2 linked regions of the Macaca mulatta genome follow. The protein of the gene in region 1 binds, or shares a complex with, the protein of each later gene. Links are inferred from orthologs where the notes say so. Each region holds a gene or a part of one and is shown in the gene's direction. Other genes may lie near its edges.

Region 1 (3,521 bases):
GCTGCACACAGCAGGCACTGTGGCTCTCCCCATTTGCAGCTGTGGAAGCAGGCACAAGGTGGTAGGGAAGTGGGGGTGCACAGCTAGTAACAGCTGAGCTGGGATTTGAACCCAGGCCACCCGACCCCAGAGCACACTTTTTAACCTCTGCACTATCCTGTAATGGAGCCTGAGTGAATGCATTTTCATCTTAAATCATTATTTCTTTTAATGAGTACAGAACATGTAAGTAGTGCATCAAGCCCATGGCTTCACAAACATTACTTAGGAGAAAAGAGGAGCTGATTTGAAGAAGATATTGAGATAGATACAGATAGAGCAGAAATCACGACTTTAATATGCAAATGGAAGCTGAGACTCAGGCTGGGGAAGGAGAGTTTTATGTCCTGGGTCAGAGCTGGAGTCAGGACCCAGGTTTCCATCATGCTGCCTGCCTCTCTAGGAGCCAGCCGTCCACTCCCATGGGTGCTTTGCGTGTCCCAGATCGAGCTGGGCTGGCAGGGGTGGGCAGAAAAAGCCAGATTGGCTGGGGCAGGCTGGGCTTCAGCTCCCAGGCAGGCTGAGGAAGACAGATGGATGCATGAATAAAGCCAAGGAATGGCAGAGACTGCAGGTGTGGGGGATTTGAGAAGAGGGGACACTGTGTTGGGGTGCGTGGGAGTGGGCCCTGGAGGGGTATTAAGGTGCGATTTGCTTAAGTAGATTGGCAGTCCTGAGAAAAGGACCACACAGAGAGGGACATCAGGTGGTGTGTGTGACTTGTGACGAAATCTCTGGCTTCCTTGAGCGCTAGGCAGGCCTGGGGACGTGCAGGGTGTGGGAGCAGAGTGGGAGGCGGGGGATTTGGGGGCAGAGGCCACCTCACGTGAGTCCTCTGTTAGTCTGCTCATGCTGCCATGACAAAATACCACAAACTGGGTGGCTTAAGCAACAGACGTTCATTTTGTTGCAGTTCTGAAGGCCGGATGTCCTAGAGTGGGGTGCCGGTTTCTCCGTGGCCTCTTCGTGGCAATCAGTGTGCTCACAGGGTCTTCCCTCTGCATGTGCACGTCCCTGAGGTCTCTGTGTGTCCTAATCTCTTCTTCTAAGGAGACCAGGCGGATTGGATTAGGGTACACCCTAGCAGCATGTTTTAACTTAATCACCTCTTTAAAAATCTTATCTCCAACTACGGTTGTATTCTGAAGTCCTGGGAGTTGGGACTTCCACATATGAACTTTGAGGAGACACATTTCAGTTCATAAAATAAGCCTCTGTCATCCCCCTAGTTTTCAATGAGTACCAGAGAATGACAGGCCGGGACATTGAGAAGAGCATCTGCCGCGAGATGTCCGGGGATCTGGAGCAGGGCATGCTGGCTGTGGGTAAGTGTCTCAGGTTTGCCTGCCCACCGTCCAGGGGCTAACGTGTCGTAAGTGTTCAGGCTGTTCGCCTGTCCTCCAGCTGATGGGTGACATCGTGAAAGGACCACAGGATCCAAGATCACTCAACCCAGAGTGTCCAGATGCTGGGAAGTCATGCCGCTTCCCGGGTCCCTGTGCAGTTGAACCCCTAGCTGTCCTGGAGGTGTCTTGTGTGTGTGTGTGTCTTGTGTGTGTTTGTGGTGCAGCTCTGGAGAAGGGAACTGCAGTGTGGGTATTAGTGGGAGGGCATCCAGCTGCTCTCCCGGAGAAGTATGACTCATATCCTGCCAAGTTTCCTCTAAAAATACATCCCTGCAGGCAGTTGTCAGATGTTTGTGATGGAAACACGTGGAAAGATTTTTACTTGCAACAGCGAAACAGGCCCATGCTGAGGAAAGCTGGCTTGGCTCCGGGATGGTAGTGTGCCTCTTACATTGCCCATGTCCTCTAGCAGGGCCCGGTGGGCTCCAGGTCCCTCCCACTGTGCAGAGTTGGGTCCCCGCCCTGAGGCCCTCACAACCCCTCTTTCTACTCACCTGGGAAAATCAGTCTGCCCCTTTTTCCATTATGCTTTTTTTTTAGAGTTTTCTGGATGGGAGAGATGGAAAATCCTCATTTCCCTGCCTGCCCCCCACAGTAGGTCTCGTGACCTGGGAAGCCTAGGGAGATGCGCATTCCACTCGGCCACAGTTTCTCCATGAGGGTCATGGCCTCTCCAGTCTGCCCCTCCTGCCTGAGCAGCAGCACAGTTCCTCGTCACCATCTGCAGCTCCTCGCCCCACTAAGACCCCCGCCCCTCTGACTCTTGGTCCTTTCATCACGGTGGTTGCCAGGAAAGAGGGTGGGTTGGTGTCCAGACTCTGCGTGTTTCTGTTCCAAAGAGCTGGAGCCAAGATCATGGGATAGTTGAGCCTGGAACAGAAGGAAGAGGAGAAAAGATGGATGCAGTGATGGATGTGACATCTGGGCCTCTAAGAGGACACTTGTAGACTCCATGCCCTGCTTGGGCTGAGAATTTTCTGCAGATCTGGTTATGCTGAGTTTCTCTCTTCTAGTGAAATGTCTCAAGAACACCCCAGCCTTCTTTGCGGAGAGGCTCAACAAAGCCATGAGGGTATGTAACTTCCATGTGCAGGTTGCGATACCTTAGCCCCGCCTGTGCCTAGGTCCAAGGGCTGAGGGTAGAAGGCCTGGGGAGAGCCAAATCTCAGCCGAGAGTTCTGAGGACTTGGGTAGGGAGGGGACTGGAAGGCCCAGGGCGGGTGGGCAGGTGAGGAGGCCTGGTGCTCATGCTCTTGGGGGGACTCTCTTTAGGGGGCAGGAACAAAGGACCGGACCCTGATTCGCATCATGGTGTCTCGCAGTGAGACCGACCTCCTGGACATCAGATCGGAGTATAAGCGGATGTACGGCAAGTCGCTGTACCACGACATCTCGGTATGGCCCTGCTGCAGGCAGACTGGGCTCCCTTTTGGCATCCCAGTCACCTGTGGAACCTCCCTCCTTAGAGTGGCCGTATGCTTGGCCTCTGTGCTGTGTGTGGGCATCTTGTTTATGGACCTCAGACTTGCTCATCCCGTTGCCCCTAAACTTCTGAGGGCAGGTGGGTCATGACCTTGCTGTCGTCCCCACCTTGCATCCCCCAGCAGCATCAGAGAACACTCGGGACCTCCTCAACCTTGACCACGACCTTCAGCGTCCCAACCACCCTGTGATTCCTTGAGCTGTCAGTGAGAACTCATGTCCCAAAGGCTCTGTGGAGCTCTGCTCTCACTCACTGACAAAGCACTTGTTGCACTCAGCTTTATGGCATAGGCCACATAGTGAGGCTGTTCAGAGCGAAGGCCGTGGGGGTCACGCCACTTGGAGTCCAGCTTTTCTACTTGCTAACTGTGTGACCTTGAACAGCTTCCTTAAACCTCCCTGAACCCCAGCTCCATTGTCTTTAAGATGAGAAAATAATTGTTCCTTCCCGGGAATGTTGTGAGTATTGAGTGAGGTGGTACAGGTCAAGTGTCTATTAAACACTAGCCACTGTTGTATCGCTGTGCGGCAGAGCCAGTCTGACAAAATACATTCTCAGCTACATGGTCTAACACTCAAATTCTGAACTCACGT
Region 2 (3,521 bases), on another chromosome or scaffold:
TCTACTAAAAATACAAAACTTAGACAGGCGCGGTGGTTTGCATCTGTAGTCTTAGTTACTGGGGAGGTTGAGGCAGGAGAATTGCTTGAACCCAGGAGGTGGAGGTTGCAGTAAGCTGAGATGGTGCCACTGCTCTCCAGCCTGGGCAGCAGAGCGGGACACCGTCTCAAAAAAAAGAAAAAGGGCCGGGTGCGGTGGCTCAAGCCTGTAATCCCAGCACTTTGGGAGGCCGAGACGGGTGGATCACGAGGTCAGGAGATCAAGACCATCCTGGCTAACGCGGTGAAACCCCGTCTCTACTAAAAATACAAAAAACTAGCCGGGCGAGGTGGCGGGCGCCTGTAGTCCCAGCTACTCGGGAGGCTGAGGCAGGAGAATGGCGTAAACCCGGGAGGCGGAGCTTGCAGTGAGCTGAGATCCGGCCACTGCACTCCAGCCTGGGCGACAGAGCGAGACTCCGTCTCAAAAAAAAAAAAGAAAAGAAAAAAATGTCATTTAATTTATCTCTCCAGGCCAGACACAGTGGCTCACACCTGTAATCCCAGCTACTCAGGAGACTGAGGCAGGAGAATCACTTAATCACTTGAACCCAGGAGGCAGAGGTTGCAGTGAGGGGAGATTACATCACTGCACTCCAGCCTGGGTGACAGAATGAGAATCCGTCTCAAAAAAAAAAAAAATTATCTCCCTTTCTCTTCTAAATAACCTAAGGTTAAGGTTGTGTAGGAGTTTTTTGTTGTTGTTGTTTGTTTTTTGAGATGGAGTCTTGCTCTGTCACCCAGGCTGGAGTGCAGTGGCGCGATCTTGGCTCACTGCAACCTCCACCTCTGGGGTTCAAGTAGTTCTCTGCCTCAGCCTCCTGAGTAGCTGGGATTACAGGCGCCTGCCACCACGACCGGCTAATTTTTGTATTTTTATCTATTTATTTATTTTATTTTATTTTGAGACAAAGTCTCGCCCAGGCTGGAGTGCAGTGGCACAGTCTTGGCTCACTGCAACCTCTGCCTCTTGGGTTCAGGCAATTCTCCTGCCTCAGCCTCCCAAGTAACTGGGATTACAGGCGCCTGCCACCGAGCCCGGCTAATTTTTTTGTGTGTTTTTAGCATAGATGGAGTTTCACCATCTTAGCCAGGCTGGTCTTGAACTCTTGACCTTGTGATCCACCTGCCTCAGCCTCCCAAAGTGCTGGGATTACAGGTGTGAGCCACCATGCCCAGCTGGTTATGTTTTTTTAAGTAAGCCAAACTTTTGGTTTCTTTTTCTTTTTTGAAATTAGAGATGGGGGCTCTTGCTCTGTTGCCTAGGCATATTGTAGTGGCTGTTCATAGACACCCTGCAGCCTCAAACTCCTGGACTCTAAGGCAGGAGTTTGTTGGAACTTCCTTCCTCAGCCTCCTGAGTTGTTGGAACTTACAGGCATATACACCACTGTGCCTGGTTTTCCATTTTATTGCAAAAGCTGTGTATTGTCGAATGTTTAGGAAAGATAAAAGTGAAATCTACATCAGGAGATACAAGTTGCTGATACTTAAAGTCAAAGTGAAGTAGAATTATTTTTGTTTTGATAAACCTTTTGAGAGAGATTGTAATCTGGAAGTACTACAAAAAACAAAATTGGAAATCACTGAATTTGCACCAGAAAAGCACCTCAGACACTAAACTTAAGCCTTTATTCTGTCCTCTAGAGCAAAAATCACTTCTTGCAAGTTTTCAGTGTCTTACTCTTCTTAGAGTCTTCTTTTTGCTTCTCATTTCTGGATGTAGGAGGTAGTGTTTTTAAAGAAGTGCTAAGTCTAAAAGGTTTCTGCTCATTTTATTTAGATAACAAAAGAAAAATGGATGAGACAGATGCTTCATCAGCAGTGAAAGTGAAAAGAGCAGTCCAGAAAACATCCGATTTAATAGTGTTGGGTCTCCCATGGAAAACAACTGAACAGGACCTGAAAGAGTATTTTAGTACCTTTGGAGAAGTTCTTATGGTGCAGGTAAACTTCGATTGCATCAAACAGTTTTTCTTTACAGTGAATGAGCATCTGGCATTTATTTATTGGTATACATAGAGATGGGGTCTCACTATGTTGCCTATGCTCTGGTGTTGAACTCCTGGGCTCAAACTGTCCTCCCACCTCAACCCCAGTGTGCTGAGCCATGATGCCTTAGCCACATTCTTGTTACTTTTTTTTTTTTTTTGGAGACCAAGTCTCACTTTGCTGTCCAGGCTGGAGTGCAGTGGCACTATCTTGGCTCACTGCAAACCTCCACCTCCTGGGTTTAAGCGATTTCTCCTGTCTTTAAGCGATTTCTCCTGTCTTAGCCTCCTGTATCTGGGATTACAGGCGCACATTATCACGCCTGGCTAATTTTGTATTTTTTAGTAGAGACAGGGTTTCACCAGTTGGCCAGGCTGTTCTTGAACTCCTGACCTCAGGTGATCCACCTGCCTTGGCCTCCCAGTGCTGGGATTACAGGTGTGAGCCACCGTGCCCGGCCATATTCTTGTTATTTTAATGGCACTGTACTTCCTGTTACACAAATGATACTTCCAATATTTGTTATATTTACACACATATCTTGTACTCTATATTATTACCTTCAATATTGTAAAATCCTGCTGTTGCGTGAAGGCTTAAGGGAATTAGGTGATAATAGCTTTTTATCTTTGAATTCATTCTAAGACATTCTGTTAAAATCCTGTTGTGGTGGCTCATGCCTGTAATCCCAGCATTTTGGTAGGCTGAGGTAGGAGGATTGCTTGAGGCCAGGAGTTCAAGACCACCTTAGCCAACATAATCCAGACTCAGGATTGCTTGAGGCCAGGAGTTCAAGACCACCTTAGCCAACATAATCCAGACTCAGTTTCTCTTTTTTTCTTTTTGGAGACAGGGTCTGGCTCTGTCAGCCAGGCTCTAGAGTGCAGTGGTGCAATTTAGGCTTGCTGCAACCTCTGCCTCCTGGATTCAAGCTATTCTTGTGCTTCAGCCTGCCAAGTAGCTGGGACTACAGACGCATGCCACTATACCTGGCTAATTTTTGTATTTTTTGTAGAGATAGGGTTTCACTGTGTTGCCCAGGCTGGACTTTAACTCCTGTGCTCAAGTTATCCAGCCTCCGAAAGCGCTGGGAATACAGGTGTGAGCCACCACGCCTGGCCCCATCTCTCTTTTTTTTAAGAACTCAAAAACATTTCTGTTGTATAAGTGAGTTTTGCTCTATTGTTAACACGGTATGGATTCAATATTAACCTCCTTGTTTTTACTCTGAAGACTAACTTGGTTTAAGTTTTAAACAACTGCATCCAGTTAAAACCATTCAAATTGTTTTTTAAGGAACTATGATTTGGGCGTGGAATGTGTATGTGTACTGTTAGAGTAAACTTAAATCATCCTTTCTAGGTCAAGAAAGATCTTAAGACTGGTCATTCAAAGGGGTTTGGCTTTGTTCGTTTTACGGAATATGAAACACAGGTGAAAGTAATGTCACAGCGACATATGATAGATGGACGATGGTGTGACTGTAAACTT

The links. Proteins that work in one complex are often made in the same cells at the same time.
Region 2: the proteins of ANXA11 (region 1) and TARDBP are in contact, whole or in part, in a cryo-EM structure (PDB 9FOR), measured with the Homo sapiens proteins. The link is inferred for Macaca mulatta from reciprocal best matches to the Homo sapiens genes ANXA11 and TARDBP. Residues at the interface, in NP_001148.1 of Homo sapiens: Gly56, Met57, Ala59, Met61, Ser62, Gly63, Phe65, Asn69, Pro71, Asn72, Leu73; in NP_031401.1 of Homo sapiens: Ala328, Leu330, Ser332, Trp334, Gly335, Met337, Gly338, Met339, Ala341, Ser342, Gln343.

What each region holds. Positions count from the first base shown.
Region 1 is NC_133414.1:69,835,222-69,838,742, forward strand, and holds part of ANXA11 (annexin A11), read left to right. Parts: intron 1-1,268; coding exon 1,269-1,364; intron 1,365-2,458; coding exon 2,459-2,517; intron 2,518-2,717; coding exon 2,718-2,840; intron 2,841-3,521. UniProt on the Homo sapiens protein: Binds specifically to calcyclin in a calcium-dependent manner. Required for midbody formation and completion of the terminal phase of cytokinesis.
Region 2 is NC_133406.1:229,708,495-229,712,015, reverse strand, and holds part of TARDBP (TAR DNA-binding protein 43), read left to right. Parts: intron 1-1,821; coding exon 1,822-1,985; intron 1,986-3,392; coding exon 3,393-3,521. UniProt on the Homo sapiens protein: RNA-binding protein that is involved in various steps of RNA biogenesis and processing.